3 linked regions of the Rattus norvegicus genome follow. The protein of the gene in region 3 binds, or shares a complex with, the protein of the main gene of each other region. Links are inferred from orthologs where the notes say so. Each region holds a gene or a part of one and is shown on either strand. Other genes may lie near its edges.

Region 1 (5,109 bases), on a different chromosome or scaffold from region 3:
ATTTTCCTTTTCTTGGCTTTTAGCAGTCTCTGAAAACACTTCCCTTCTTTAGCGCACTGATCTTTCCTGAAAGATACAAAGGACTGTCAGAGTCTGCATTCTCATTTCGTGAGCAGCTACTATAGTTTTAAATAGAACCCTTATTCCCGATGTCCTTTCTTCTTAAAATGTGATATTTCTCCAAAGGATGGATATATATATATATATATATATATATATATATATATTCCTTCATGTAAATATATATTCCTTCATGTATATATTTATCTTTAGATGGTATTGGTATTTTCTAGAATTTAAAAGTAGTTTAAAATATATACATCAAGTCACATTTGTTTTTCATTGATTACTATCTGTGGTTTGGTTTGTCAGAATAAACTATATTATGAAAATTTGATAACCGCAATACTATATACCTACTTGTAAACATTCCGCTTACTTGACCTCGTACTTTGAAAGTGCTTCACATAGCAATAAATGTAGCAGGTCTATTTATGTAAACTGGGTGGACAGAGTCATTAAGCCTGTCATTCCTTTTCTGTGCTTCAATTATGTCCAGAAACATTAATTTAATAAATAATATGTATTGTAAAGTGTTCCTGAATCATACTATTCCAATTCTATACACGTCAAATAAAGAACTGATTCAGAAGGTCATAAGAAAGTATTGATTATGTTTAGTGATTATCTTTCCTACTCAGACATATTAGAAAAATCTATTTTAAAAAACCTAAATAAAGATCAGATGGTGCTTTTGATAACCTTTTACCTCCTTGGTACTTTCACAGTGCTGGTTAGTGTTTGTTAATCAGTGAGTCACGTGACAAATGCTTTATTGGAGTCAGCTAAATCACGTAGTATAGATGAAGAAACACAGGTCGGCATTAAACTAAGGAACAACTACCTTACTCCTTGAAGAGCTGCTGTACATTTTGTCCGGCTGTTTTAAGCAAAATAAAATCATTTTCTTTTTGCTCAGAATTCTTGGGCTTTTAGGATTTTTCTTTTCCTTTTTTAAGATTTATTATATATATGTTACACTCATACACACATACTGTAGCTGTCTTCAGACACACCAGAAGAGGGCATCAGATCTCATTGTGAGCCACCATGTGGTTGCTGGGATTTGAACTCAGGACCTCTGGAAGAGCAGTCAGTGCTCTTAACCACTGAACCATCTTTCTAGCCCGGATTTTTGTTTTTGACTGTTCACTTTTTAAGGCACGGTCTCTCTATATAGCCTGACTGGCCGGGAACTAGCTATGTAGACCAAGTTGGTTTGTAACTTAGAGATCTGCTTGCCTCTGCCTCCCAAGTGTTGGATTAAAGGCATCCAATATCATGCCTGGCCTCCTCTGTGTTGGTTTTAAAGGTTAGTTTAGAACATGGTATTTCTCTGTCTCTCTGTCTCTCTGTCTCTCTGTCTCTCTGTCTCTCTCTCTCTCTGTCTCTCTCTCTCTCGTTTGCTCTTCTGGAAGTCACTATGTAGACCAGGTTGGCCTGGAACTTAACAGCTATCCACCAGCCTCTGCCTCCTTCCCTGTCCTTCTGCTGGAATTGAAGGTATATACCACCATGCCCTTGCAGAAGATGGTATTTCTTTTTTTGAACAGCAAAACATATTTAATAATAGAAAGAATGATAAGAATTATATGTGTAAAAGTCTGTCATCAGGGAATATACTTTCTTTAAATTCTTATTGCTTGGATATAAAAATTAATGTCCAAAGGGAATTGCTGGAGGGTGTGGATAAAAGGATGGTTCAGTAGTTAAATGCAAGTGTACTGCTCTTCTAGAGGACCCAAGTTCAGTTCACAGCAACCATGCCAGGCAGCTCACAGTCACCTTAACTCCTGCTACAGGAGCATCCAACGCCTCTGTGGGCACCTGAACTCATATGCACACACACGCTTAAAAAAATGAACATAAATCTTGAAACAGAAAATTTTTGGGTAAATGTAAAATTTAAAATTTATTCAACAATTAAATTTGAAGAATTTAGCAGGAAAATTTATAATCTTACTTAAATTAGATTATCATATATTATTAAATGAAATCTTAAAGATTATTTTAATCAGTAGTATTATCAAAGAAACATCAATTTATCATTGTGTTCTTTGCTCTGTTTTTCAGCTTCCCAGAATCAAGAACGGCTGTGTGCATTTAAAGACCCGTATCAACAAGACCTTGGGATTGGTGAGAGTCGAATCTCTCATGAAAATGGGACAATATTATGCTCCAAAGGGAGCACATGTTATGGTCTGTGGGAGAAATCAAAAGGGGACATCAATCTTGTGAAACAAGGCAAGTAATATTTTTTTAAAAAATTATTTACCTTTTTATTTTATGTGCATCGGTGTTTTGCTTGTATGTATCTCTGTGTGAGAGTCAGATCTTGGGAGTTACAGACACTTGTGAGCTGCCATATGGATGCTGGGATTTGAACCTGGGCCCTCTGGAAGAGCAGTGAGTGCTTCTAACAGCTGAGCCATCTCTCCAGTCCCCAAGTAACACCTTTTTTTTTTTTTTTTTTTTTTTACTTAATTGCTTTGTGCTTTTGTGCTTTTTTTCTTTTGGGTGCTGAGAATCAAACACAGACCATTGCACATAGGCAAGCTCCCTGGCGCAGGGCTATATCTTTAGCATTGTTTTCATACAGTTGGAACTTATCTAGAAAGGACATGTAGGTGGATTGAAATCCTATCCAGTAAATAAGATAAACACATAAATATATCTATAATTCACCCACAAGCTCCAAATTCATAAAAGGAAGTTTACTTTTAGTGTATGTAGTTAGTTTGCTCATTTGCTTGCTTGGCTGAAATAGGGTCTCACTGTGTAGCCCGGCAGGCCTGGAGTTCACAGAGATCTGCCTTCTTCTGCTTCCCAAGTGCTGAGACTAAAGTCATGCTCCACTGTGCCTAGCCTTTTAGTGTGTTTTAATAATGTCTTTCTCTTTACAAGTTAATGTTTGTGAATGAAGTTTGTATAAAAACCCAAAAAACTATTTAGAAAAACCAAGGTCTACAACTCACTTTTCTTAAAAAAAAAAAAAAAAGTTTTGTGTTGATTCCCCCCCCTTGGGTACATTTTTCATGTATTTTAATATTTATATGAGTCCCAGTCTTCTTTTAAAATTAGAATAATGTTATATTATTCCAACCTCTTTTCCCCCATGTTATTGTAAATGCCCTCTGAAGACATGTGTACCTCAGCACTATATTTCACTGTGTATATGTATTACGGTTTACATAAACGCTTTGAACACTATGCTGTTTTAAGGTTTTCACTGAAATGCATATCCAGCAATGGAAACCTTCAAACATATATAAAAGTTGTGTCTGATTGCTTTTTTTTCTCTCTTTTGTTTTTTTTTTTTTTTTTTGGTTCTTTTTTTCGGAGCTGGGGACCGAACCCAGGGCCTTGCGCTTCCTAGGTAAGCGCTCTACCACTGAGCTAACTCCCCAGCCCCTTTCTCATTTTTTTAAAAGTAGATTCTTTAATGTAGAATTAATAGATCATAAAAATATATGGTTATTTTAAAGGCTTTACATTAAAATTGCTATATTTTTCCAAAATTAACACACAAACTGATTACAGAATTGTAAGAGAGTGACTGTCACTGAATCTTTGTTACGATTCCATTAATTTTTTAATTGAGACGATTTAAATCTAAGTGCTCTTTCTTCAATAGTTCTCATAGTAATGGCGCAGCTAATGGTAATCGCTTTGTTGGCTGCCTTCCCCGTGAGATGTCTGTGGAACCCTTTACCATTTTCACTCAGTTTCTTTATGACTGTACTACTTAGTTTTATATGGCTGCTACAGTTACTTCATAATCTGTTGTTTTCCTTACTGTACTGTTTCCTAACTTGCTTTAATATTGATCTGTAGGGTGCTGGTCTCACATTGGTGATCCCCAAGAGTGCCACTATGAAGAATGTGTAGTAACTACCACCCCACCCTCAATTCAGAATGGAACATACCGTTTTTGCTGCTGTAGTACAGACTTATGTAACGTCAACTTCACTGAGAACTTCCCACCTCCTGATACAACACCACTCAGTAAGTATTAACAGGAATTTTTTTTTTAATAATTCCTTGTTCTAGAAGTTTTGAAAACATAACGGATAAACATTCAAGGTTAGTAAAAATTTACCTAAAATCTCCAAAGTAATATACCAGCACCAGCAAAGCTTTGGTGTATTTATTATCAAGTAAGTCTGAATCAAGACATGATTTTCCCTTTGTTTGGCGTTATGATGTGTGCTTGTAATCCCAGAACTCCAGAGGCCAAAGCAGTAGGATTGTAAATTCAAGACAGTCTGAGCTAACTGGTAAGTTCTTACCCAGCCTGGACTACATAAAAGGACCATGTCTCAGCAAACAAAAAATTCAAAACCCTCTTTTTTTTTTTTTTTGGTTCTTTTTTTTTTTCGGAGCTGGGGACCGAACCCAGGGCCTTGCGCTTCCTAGGTAAGCGCTCTACCACTGAGCTAAATCCCCAGCCCCCTTCAAACCCTCTTAAGGAAGGGAATTTGGTGATAGCAAATGAGTGTGATGGTGCAAGCCTTTAATCCTGGCACTTGGGAGGTAGAGGCAGATGGATCTCTATGAGTTTGAAGCCAATGTGGTCTACATAGCAAGTTCTAGACCAGCCAGGACTACACAGTGAGACCCTGTCTGAAAATCAAAATAAAACAACCATAATAATTAGAGAGAGAGAGAGAGAGAGAGAGAGAGAGAGAGAGAGAGAGAGAGAGAGAGAAACTATAACTTAGTTTGGCTTGTGTCTATAGCCACACTCATTCTGGAGGCCAAGGAGGGAGGGTCACTTGAGGTCATATATTCAAGTCTAGTGTGGGAAATAAAGAGAAATCCTAATTCAAGAATCAGACAGCAGCCAGTATGATAACAAATGCCTTTTATTTAGCACTTGGAGGCAGAGGGAGGTGAATCTATATGAATTTGAGAATAGCTTGGTCTACATAGTAAGTTATAGGCCAGCCAGAGCTCCATGGTGAGGCCTTGTCTTAAATGAAAATTCAAAATCCAAAGTAAGACCCCCCCCCCCAAAAAAAAACAAACCACAAATAAACAAAAATCCCA
Region 2 (5,109 bases), on a different chromosome or scaffold from region 3:
CTTGAGGTCAGCCTGGTCAGTAAGACTCCTGTCTCAAGGAAAAAAAAAGTGAGCTAAAAGCGCAGGTTTTGTCTTCATGGTGCCACAAGTGTATATATGTCTGAGTGTGTGTGTTTATATATACATGTATTTCTTTAAGTATGGAATGTCTTGAGGGAAAAAAAAAATCATCATCAACAACAAAAGCCAGATAGGAGAAGTTTAGCAGAGAGGTTTTGATTCTTGCAAGTGAGGTAAAAAGGTTATAAAATCAGATTGACTGAAAGGTCCGAGAAGGACGAAGGTTCCGCAAGCCAGGTGTGTAGGGGGGAATACCCAGAACAACCCACAATCTATCCAAGAATCAGAGGTTGTAGAGCCAAGATCCTGAACTCAGAAATTCAGCTGAGAATCAATCTCCACCCATGCCAACCCAGCCCCAGCCCAGCCAGCCCAGCCCCAGCCCCAGCCCCGCCCAGCCCCAGCCCCAGCCCCAACCCCAGCCCAGCTCAGCCCCAGCCCAGCCCCAGCCCCAGCCCCAGCCCCAGCCCCCAGCTCCGGCCCAGCCCAGCTCAGCCCAGCCCAGTCCAGCCCAGGCCAGCCCCAGCCCAGCCCAGCCCCAGAACAGCCCAGCCCTAGCCCAGCCCCAGCCCCAGCCCCAGCCCCAGAACAGCCCAGCCCAGCCCCAGCCCCAGCCCCAGCCCAGCCCTGGTCCAAGCAGAGGTCTCACCGGATCTGCTGCCAGTCGGTTAGGGATGGTGGGGGTCTGCTGGTCAACACACACCACCTTTTTCATGTCCTCAAAACTGGGGTCATTGGGTACCATGTCATAGAAGGGTGGCCTGTAGTCCTCCACAATGCCTGGGGATTCAAGGGATGTGGGACAATCACTTGGAACCCAGAGCACCCACAGGATGACCATGCTTGGGGCTAACTGCCTGATTATATTTCTCCTGAGAGCGATCCCGTCCTACAATATAGTAACTGTGCATATAGCTCAGAACTACTGCCTGTGTTCCAAGATTTCCCATTCGTCCTCCTGGTGGTATCTCTGTGTGGTACCACCCGAGTCACAGATGGAGAAGCCTAGAGTCAGAAGCACCGGATTCGTGTTGCCTAGCCAGTCACGGCACAGTCAGGACTTGAAACCCGTTTTTTGGCTTCCTAAGCTGGATCTTATTTTCATCTTGCTCAGCTTCCATTCTGCGCCTGGGTTCCACTGCCTGAGTGATGCCCGATTACCCTAACAGCTGGTGTTCCGGAGCACTTCCGGTGTGTCCCAGAGCACTTCCGGTGGGCCAGAAGGGGTCCTTAGTGCTCTACCCGCAAGCCTCACAGTGGCCTATGGGGACTGTAGCATTGAACCAAAAACAGTAGGTCCAAATGTTCAGAAATTTTGTCTTTAAGGATCAACAGGTAGCAAGCGACAGAACTGGGACCTAAGGCGGAAATCCAACACCAAATTCCTCGATTCCGCTCTCTCAGCAACATTTATGGTAGGGCTGGATGAGGCTCGTACGTAATAAGGGCAACAAAGAGCAGAAAAACACCTCTCCGAGAAGCAAAAGATTTACTCCCTGGTCCAAATAAGATGTGCTTACTGTCAGGGAAGGTTCACGTCTCTGCAGACCCCATCACCAACGGTGTCCCCACCCCATGTCTAGTTATCCCGAGCCATTTCTGAAAGGTGTGCCTGTGGGGTCAGAGGCAGCCCCATGTCTCTTCCTCCTTCCCAACTCCAGGCCGCTTCTGTGATCATGAAGACCAGAACCTCAATGAAGCCTTCAGCAGCTGTTCTCCCCGTGGCGGGCTTCCAGGCTGCCCCTGTGCCGCCGGCGCCCTAATCAGCGATTTGCAGAGGCCTGAGCGTGTCTAATGAGCCTTTAATCAGTGCCGGGGCTGACACCAGATTACAGTGTTTATAATGCGCTAGGAGTCTGTGTGAGGCTGACAGAGCTTCCCCTCCACCCCAGGAGCCTAAGGCAAATCCATCAGCTCCTCCTTTCCTGCGTAGCTAGGCCTACTTCTTTGGTTTCATCCAGGTACCCTTTCCCCAACTCCAGCCACTTAGAGCTGACTCCAGCAGTAAATGCCCCGGGATCAGAACCCCTGGGAGACTCTCTGGTGACAACTGGGTCTCTGCTGTCACAGATGACCACCAAGGAGGAGTGACGTTGTAAAAGGCTGGCTCCTAGCCAGTAGATGCTCAGGAAATGAAAACATCTCTGGTCCCAAGGGGCAGGGCTCTAGTAGTATGCCCGGGATTGTCTGCAAACTTTCAGGACTCCCAGCATCCTTGGCCATAGACAGGCCCCACAAACGCTAACATTGCAGCAGTTAGCTGTCCAGTCAACCTGTGGTCCTCCATCTACCCCAGGGTTAAAAGGCCATTAGCCACAGGCCAGCACAGGGCTGCACAGGGCTACACAAGGCTACACAGGGCTGTACAGGCCAGCATAGGCCAGCACAGGCCAGCACAGGGTTGCACAGGCCAGCAAAGGGCTGCATAGGGCTGCATAGGGCTGCACAGGCCAGCACAGGCTAGCACAGGGCTATGTAGGGCTGCACAGTGCTGCATAGGGCTGCACAGGTCAGCACAGGACAACACAGGCCAGCACAGGGCTGCATAAGGCTGCACAGGCCAGCGCAGGCCAACACAGGCCAGCACAGGCGAGCACAGGCGAGCACAGGCCAGCACAGGGCTGCACAGGCAGGTGCTTCTACAGTCTTTTCAAGTTATGGTCTCCTGTGGCAATCCACTGTGATAATGAGGCTGCAGTAGGCAAGCAGCACAGAAGCCAGATAGCTTACACATGAATGAAGAAACCAAGACCAACATTTAACTACCACAATAACAGACAGCACTGGCCCAGAATCAGATGGCCTGACTTAAGATAGCCAGCCACAATCATGCATCTCTGTCTTTTCTTTTAGGAAGTGGAATAATAATATGTAAGTGCTCTTTCATTATGACCACTAATATTTAGCTCTAGGCACGGTTTGCCTTTCTTCTCTGTGTAGTCCTGGCCGATCTGAAACTCAAGGCTGGCCTTGAACTTGTAGCAATTCTTCTGCCTATGAGTACTGAGAATACACCAGCTTGTAGATATTGTTCTAAATACTTAATTTGGATCATGTCTGCAACAACACTTTTTTTTTCCTCCTAATTTCACAAATGAGGAAGGAGGCACACCAGGGCTAAGTACTCCCTGTCAGGACAAAACCTGAAACTGAGTCCAGGCAATCTGACTGGCCAAATGCCAACTCTTACCAAAATAAGAGACTTCAACAAGTTAGAGTATACATTGTGACACATATTTAAGCTCCACAAATGCTAGCTAGCTTAGCTGCTTCCCTGCCCCGCCCCTATGCTCAGGATCAAAACCTATGGCATTGAACATGCTGGGCAAGCATTCTACCACTATATTTCCAGCTTTGAATATTTTTTTTTTGTCTCTAACTCAAGATTTCAAGGCCACATCCACACCCTCCCAGGTTCAGATGAGCCTTAAAGTCCATCTGTGCTGAACTAGGCGATTCATAGCAGTAAAAGAAAACTAGGAGCTCTAACCTCAAACCATCAGGTCAAGGGCAGAAAAGACCAGCCACCACAGAAAACCAGGTCTCCATATATTTACACACATACGCGCATCCGTGTACACACACACACACACACACACACACACACACACACTTATGCATGCATGCATGCATAGACACATACACATATGCACACACACACAGATACACACATGCATGCGCGCACACACACAACCTGCATACGGTGGGCTCTCACCATTGATGATGGTCCGCCGGGCAATCTCCCATAGCACTAAGCCGAAGGCCCAGATGTCTGTCCACTTGTACGACTCAAAACAGTCTGTGCGGATCTGCTCATCCAGCACCTCGGGTGCCATGTATCTCTTGGTACCCACTCGGGGGTTGTTACCAATGTCCAGGTAATCGCTGCTTTGCGAGTGCATCACAGCCAATCCTGCGGGTGTTTGGCGTGTCAGTCCTGCAGGGCTCCCACACAGGGTGACCACTCCAATTCTCTCCCGAACAAAAACAGGCAGAGCCAAGCATGCAAGCCCCGCCCTCAGGTGAAGCCCCACCCCCTCTCTCCTGCTCACCCAGGTCTGCAATGCAACACTGCAAGTTGCTCTTGACCAGCACGTTGCGGCTCTTGAGGTCACGATGGGCGATGGCTGGTTTGCCTTGAGTGCCAAAGATCTCTACATGCAGGTGCGCCAGGCCGCAGGCCGCGGACACAGCCAGCCTCAGGGCCAACTGGGGCTCCAGCGTCTGCCTCTGCAGAAAGTCATAGAGGGAGCCATGCTCGTGGTAGTGGGTGATAAGCCACAGCTGCGTGCTGGAGTTCCGCGAGGTCATGTCGGAGGCGATGAAGCCTGTAAACAGAAGGGTGTGACCAAAGTACCCAGAAGGAAGGAGTGGTGAGAAGGTAGAGCTGCTGAGGCACAGAAGGGGTGGGGCAGAGACCGAAGGCTGAAGCTGGTCTGGGAGTTACATCAATGCCCAGTTCGGTGTATTCCAGCCCTGAGTTGAGGGAGTTGGGGTGCCTTGGCCTGGGAGAGCAGACATGTCCCCTAGCTTGCCTAGGATGTTGTCGTGTCTAAGCAGAACTGTGTTGTAGATCTCTGTCTCCCGGAACCAGGACTGCTCATCTCGTGAGGAGAAAATCTTGACCGCCACACTCTCGCCATGCCACGAACCGCGCCACACCTCGCCATATCGGCCCTTTCCTAATCCGTGGCCAAGGGAAGAATAAGGACCACGCACTAGACACACATAGTCCTTAAAAACCCCCACCCCAATTCCGGATGCTATGAAGATAGATCCCCTCTGCAAAAATCCGATTTTATTTATTTTTAACTTTTTTTTTTTTTTAAGTATAAGGTCTCATTTGTCTTGCTGATTTGGAACTTGCGATGTAGACCAGGCTGGCCTTGGACTCACAGAGATCTGCCTGCCTCTGCCTCCCTAGTGCTGGTATTAAAGGCATGTGCCAAAAACCCCAGCTGCCTTCTAGATCACAATATTTTTCATTTATTTATTTATTTATTTATTTATTTATTTATTTATTTATTCGTGTGTGTGTGTGTGTGTGTG
Region 3 (5,651 bases):
GCTGTGGTTCAGAGTCCGGTATCCAGGCACCTCAGGGACCGCGGTGATGGATAGAAAGTTCTAGCATTTGGCAGTCCTAAAGAAGCTCTTGAGCAGGAGAATAGCAGATCATTCATGATAGAACATGGAAAAGAGAGTTCTATTAACAATGAACAAGCAAAACCTCATATTTATAAAACTGGTACCAATTTAATAGTGAAAATCAATGAATAACAGTCATATCTGGGATCCAAACATGGGTGTGTGTGTGTGTGTGTGTGTGTGTGTGTGTGTGTGTGTGTGTGTGTCTGCCCTCTGACCTTTGATATCAGTGCACCCCAGGAACTGGAGTGCAGCCACGTGTTCCAAGGCCCTGTGGCAGGTGCACATTGCACAAATGTGCCTGCCATTGAGAATTGTGGAGTGTGTGTTGGTGTGTGTGTGTGTGTAGACAGGTGCTTGTCCTGATCAGCACATGATCCAGGAGAATTGCTGCACTGCTTCCCGGAACCTCGCATTAACCTCATTGGTGGTATAGTGGGCTGTGGGTCTGGGACTCACCATTCATGCACCTCCTCAGGATCGATCTATTTCCAATCTACGATCACCATTTTGCTACCTGAGCAGAAACAGGCACCGAAACATTGGATTTCAATCAACTGCCAGACAAGTAGACAATCAGCAGCTACTAAAGACATGATCCCTCCTAAGACAGCTGAAAACAAGACAAAACAAACAAAACAAAAACCTACTGTGAAAATCTAGGAAAGAGGAGAAAGAATCCAAGGGCGACTAGAACTAGAGGAGGTAGTGAGAATGGTGAGGATCAGTTAGCCTATTAAGAAGAGCGAAGAAAAGCTTAACCAAGACTCTAAGTGGGCATTCTAGCACACCAACGGTTTAGGCACTGTCCTCAGAACACACAGGAGGCTGCCTGAAGAATTGCACAGAGAACGCACTGAGCAGGCGGAAGAGATTCCATTATAATTGTCCCTGCAGGAAATAACCCCTTAGAGCTGTCTACAAAGCCACTGTGTCAGCACCGTGCCTCCCGCTGCCACCAATTAGCATGGCCTCAATGGTCAGCCTGGTTTGTTACTCCTAAACTGGACACATACTCAATTATACCAGCCCCACACCCCTCCCCTTACCAAGATGCTTGGCATTTTTTATCTCTTTAGTAATGCTATGTGTAAGCTGGTGGAGCTTTGGGCTTAGCCTTGAAGGTGAACTTGACAGAGGTTCAGGTCGTGTAAATAATCGATATCTCAAGCATAGGACCTGAATCCACATCCAGGTACCTGCCTCCTCACTGACTACCCGGTACAAGTGGGCTGGGGTGGCTATTTCCATCCATTCCTGATCCAATGGAATCCGGGTTACAAAGTCTGGACGTTTCTGTTCCACAATAATTAGACTGCCTGGGTTTAACTCAAGGCTTCATGACTGCACAGGTCAGTGGCTTCCGATCAGCCATGGGACCTCAGGAGTCTGTGCACCTGACAGGGATGAAAACAGGGTTATCAGACAAAGCATGTTAGATGGTTTCTGAAAACGTCTTCACTCCATTCCACTCCAAAACTGACTGTAATCAGGTGCTTACCTTCAGACTGATCAAATCTGTGTGTGTGTGTGTGTGTGTGTGTGTGTGTGAGAGAGAGAGAGAGAGAGAGAGAGAGAGAAGAAATGACCATGACATTCATTCTTTCCTGTTTCTGAAAGCAAATGCTTCAAAATTTGTTTAGGAGTGATCGATGTCTCCTTGACTTGACGTCATTGGCTATGTCTATTTAGTCCATCTTTGGACATGTAAGCCCCATCACTTGAATCAACACGCATGACTAATAATAAACATTCTGTTGATTCTTAATATCTGTCATACACACGTGCAAAACTGAATCCCATAAGCCCAGAATCCAGGCATTCCTACCAAAGGAAGTCAAACGGGAAGAAAAGTAGCAGAGCCTTTGCAAAGACAACATTGTCCTATCTCTCACCAGTGTCAGAATGTAGAAGTGTTTACAAAATGCTCATTAAAAGAAAAGGGGGGTTGCAAGATAAAAATGAAATCTGGTGTACAAGTTTACACTGGGGAGATAAGAGAGGCTAGGCCCTATAGGGGATTTTGCTAACCAATTACTGCAACCTGACTTTTGGCGGGGAAGAGGGGGAGGAGGGGCAGGAGAGAGAGAGAGGAGGGGGAGGGGAAGACAGAGGAAGAGTTTCCATACTTGTGTCGTGTCCAGTGACACAAGACATTTACACTCCGCAAGATAAAACCGCCAGTTGCAGCTCAGGGGAGTTAAGCCTTCCTAGGTTGGCCTGGGGAGCTGAGCAGAGTCATGGGTTCTCTGGTTCTGCCGCTGAGCGCCGTCTTCTGCCTGGTGGCTCGTCTGGCTTCTGGCAGCCCCATCATGGGCCTTGAGCAGTCGCCCCTGGAAGAAGACATGCCCTTCTTTGATGATATCTTCACAGAACAAGATGGTATTGACTTCAACACACTGCTGCAGAGCATGAAGGACGAGTTTCTCAAGACGTTGAATCTGTCAGACATTCCCCCACAGGACACAGGCAGAGTGGATCCGCCGGAGTACATGCTGGAGCTCTACAACAAATTCGCCACGGACCGGACCTCCATGCCATCTGCTAACATCATCCGGAGCTTCAAGAATGAAGGTAGGCTGGCTGGCGTTTGCACCTAGGAGACTGTCTTTGCGTTTTCTCAGGGAGAAATAAGGAGGCGTCCACATGGGGATGAGGTGGGAAAGGGAAACCCATGGCTCAGACACAGTGCATCAGCTGCACCACACGATCCTCCTAGAACTCCAAAAATGCTGTAAAGTATCTACCAATGAAAACCCACAAAAGGCCCATCATTTTAATAGCACAACAGGTTCTCGATGTCATTTTAATCTGGACACTACATATCAAAAAACCATAAAGGTCGATCTGTCGTTCCATCTCCTCTGCCACTTTCTAGACGGGACTCGATTTCCACCTGGTGTTGATAAGAATTAGTCAATTACTTTTTAGATCAAAAATGATGAAAACAATAAAAAAAAGAAATTTTGGGCTTTTTAGTTGGTTCCAACTCTAGGCGAGTTTTTGTTTCTGACTTCATTTGGTCAGTGTCCTGATAGGACAGAACTGTATTTGGGAGATTCTTCTCATGTTGTGTTGTGTTTGATAAACCAGGTTCCCATGTGGAGCATTGCTTATAATAAGACTCCAGGAAGTTCACAGGTGCGGCGGACTGTGACTGGATCTCTATGAAGAGCAATATACATATTTCAAATTGTTCACTCCCCTCAGATTTCTAAATGAGTCAGTGAGCTAATGCTAGGTTTATGTGGCAGTAGAAAAACATAATGTTGACAGCAGAGACCATGAATATAAAGAAAATGGCTCTTTGTCATTTACTAATTGTGCTCTTAATTATTTACTAATTGTGTCCCTGGATGAGCTAAAACGAGATTTGAAGAATATTTACCAGACGCTCTTGGAAGCAGAAGGCGGTGGCACAAAACCGCTCAGGGCTGCCGAGCATTAGCGGCTTTGGGAAGTTGTGAGGAGCTGGTCTAAGTGATTGTAGCCTCTGCTTCCTCCTGTAAAGCAGAAGCTGCTTGGTGCAGATGAGGGAATCACAGGCAGCTCTGGGTAAGCGAGGGCTCACGGTAAGGAAATGCTGGACAAACCATGGCGACTTTCAATGAATTGCCTAATATTCTAGGAGCTAGAGTGAAGGTTGAGTGGTTGAGTGAGGAAGTAAGATAGTATTTGCTATTAGAATTCAACCTATGACCACCATGTCCACTTAGTAACATATTTCTGGTAGAAACAGTGAACTGAAATTTCAGATTCCTTTGGAGGCAAGTCTGGGAGAAAAAGAGCAACCTCCCAAGGAGCCTGCCTCAGATTCCTGCTCTGAGCCATGGTCTAGCTCGGGCACGGTGGGAATGCATGCTCCTTGCTTCTCCCATGGAAGAGCAGGTGATAACATTGAGGATGTGACCCAGCTTACCATTACTGGAGATCCATGGGGAAGCCTCAGACTTGGAGACACCCAGCTACTCACCCCTCGCACCTCTGCCAGCCTAGAGGAAGACTCACACAGCAGAGGACCTGTGTCCCCTCAGCAGACTCTCCCTGCTGGCTGCTGTCATCCACATACTCACCTTTTGTGTTTGCTCAGTGCTGTGCCCTAGGCGATGACCCAGAGGGCTCCAGACCTAATTCGTGTTTGAACTAGTGCAGCATGCAAGGCAGAAGACGGGACTTCAGTTCTTTTTTTTTTTTCTTTCCCCGGAGCTGGGGACTGAACCCAGGGCCTTGCGCTTCCTAGGCAAGCGCTCTACCACTGAGCCAAATCCCCAACCCGGGACTTCAGTTCTTAGCCTGGCTCCACTCTCCATATTGTCTAGGAAGTCAGATATGCACTCGATGGTTTGATTTCTTCCGGTGCACAACTAGAATAGGATCCATGTGTGCATTGTTGGGGATCATTGTAACAGCCACACAATTTGCAGAAAGTCCTGCATGTGAAACGTGTGGAGGACATTATTTTTCTTTCCCTGAAATGTGACTTCTCCATGATCTAGTGTTACATATGCAAATAATTATGGGTAGTTTTATTTAGTTAGTTAAGGGTTGGTTGGTTGGTGCATGTATGTTGTGCTGTGTTGTCTTGTTTTAAGCTGGCTTTGAACTCATCATGTAGCCCAGGCTGGCCTTGAAATACTCATATTTAAGGTTTTTTTTTTAAGTTATAAACTATTAATTTCTTTTGAGACATATTTTGCTGTGTAGGTGAGGTTGGCTCAAGCTCACCCACCCTCCTGTCCAAGCCTCCTGTCCAAGCTCTAATGTGAGCTTAGTTTTTAAAAAGTATAACTTCACCGGATTATAGCTGATATACATAGAACTATGATATATTTAACATGTATAATTTAGGTGCTTCTGTGTGTAAACATCCACCGAAGCCCCTGCCTCGGCTAAGACAGTGAGCATGCCCACTTCCCCCAAGGCTTCCTTCATTCCTGAGGGGAACTGCTTCTCTCATGGAGGAGCAACGAACCTGTCCTCCCATTTTTGATCTTCTATGACAGCAAGTGCAGAGTGGGATAAACTTTCAGAGGGAGACTCGAAGGCACCAATGTCTCAAAAGGGAGGCCAAAGGTGGAGCGTGGATATGAAGGAAGATGGCTTTCTCTTCAAGAATCAGAACATCTTCAAAGGTTCACAACAAAGAAGGAAGGAGTTTTGTTTTTTTTTAGAGGGAAAGTTACTAATCAATAGGGTTAAATGCTCATTCAATTGATCCATAAATACCCATGAAGCAGCTGTGGTATTCTGGGTACTGTGGAGAATGGACGGGAGTCATGGCTTGGTTGAAATTTTAAGCACTGGTTACAGTTGCCCTGGCCACACCTGTGAGGTTAGGGCAATCCCATAAATCAGTATCCCCCACACCACTGAGAAGATGCTTTCAGTTAGCACCCAGAGGAAGCTGTGAGACACATACAATAACTACATGTTTTATTTATGTACATTTGAGAGCCCATAAGACTATGAGCTTACGGGCAAGCCTTTTAGCTCTTTTCAGAGTAGATATAAAGCAATCAACTAAAGAAGATATCAAGCACAACATGGATCAGAGACTCCACTGAGGTCAT

The links. The genes of interacting proteins can lie anywhere in the genome.
Region 1: the proteins of Bmp10 (region 3) and Bmpr2 are in contact, whole or in part, in a crystal structure (PDB 7PPA), measured with the Homo sapiens proteins. The link is inferred for Rattus norvegicus from reciprocal best matches to the Homo sapiens genes BMP10 and BMPR2. Residues at the interface, in NP_055297.1 of Homo sapiens: Tyr329, Lys333, Asp338, Ser339, Trp340, Ile342, Ala343, Pro344, Pro345, Gly346, Tyr347, Glu348, Glu395, Pro396, Ile397, Ser398, Ile399, Leu400, Leu402, Val407, Tyr409, Phe411, Ala417; in NP_001195.2 of Homo sapiens: Asp38, Ser64, Tyr67, Leu69, Lys81, Cys84, Trp85, Ser86, Ile88, Gly89, Asp90, Pro91, Gln92, Glu93, Thr103, Thr104, Pro105, Pro106, Ile108, Tyr113, Phe115.
Region 2: the proteins of Bmp10 (region 3) and Acvrl1 are in contact, whole or in part, in a crystal structure (PDB 6SF1), measured with the Homo sapiens proteins. The link is inferred for Rattus norvegicus from reciprocal best matches to the Homo sapiens genes BMP10 and ACVRL1. Residues at the interface, in NP_055297.1 of Homo sapiens: Tyr322, Asn357, Tyr358, Pro359, Ala361, Glu362, His363, Pro366, Thr367, Lys368, Ile371, Leu375, Leu378, Lys379, Ser381, Lys386; in NP_000011.2 of Homo sapiens: His40, Val54, Val56, Arg57, Glu58, Glu59, His66, Gly70, Asn71, Leu72, His73, Glu75, Leu76, Phe84, Val85, His87.

What each region holds. Positions count from the first base shown.
Region 1 is NC_086027.1:68,734,727-68,739,835, forward strand, and holds part of Bmpr2 (bone morphogenetic protein receptor type-2 precursor), read left to right. Parts: intron 1-2,133; coding exon 2,134-2,304; intron 2,305-3,894; coding exon 3,895-4,065; intron 4,066-5,109. UniProt on the Homo sapiens protein: On ligand binding, forms a receptor complex consisting of two type II and two type I transmembrane serine/threonine kinases.
Region 2 is NC_086025.1:134,126,638-134,131,746, reverse strand, and holds part of Acvrl1 (serine/threonine-protein kinase receptor R3 precursor), read right to left. Parts: intron 4,743-5,109; coding exon 4,596-4,742; intron 4,389-4,595; coding exon 4,113-4,388; intron 3,974-4,112; coding exon 3,776-3,973; intron 841-3,775; coding exon 710-840; intron 1-709. UniProt on the Homo sapiens protein: Type I receptor for TGF-beta family ligands BMP9/GDF2 and BMP10 and important regulator of normal blood vessel development. On ligand binding, forms a receptor complex consisting of two type II and two type I transmembrane serine/threonine kinases.
Region 3 is NC_086022.1:121,427,054-121,432,704, forward strand, and holds the start of Bmp10 (bone morphogenetic protein 10 precursor), read left to right. Parts: upstream 1-2,321; coding exon 2,322-2,655; intron 2,656-5,651. UniProt on the Homo sapiens protein: Required for maintaining the proliferative activity of embryonic cardiomyocytes by preventing premature activation of the negative cell cycle regulator CDKN1C/p57KIP and maintaining the required expression levels of cardiogenic factors such as MEF2C and NKX2-5.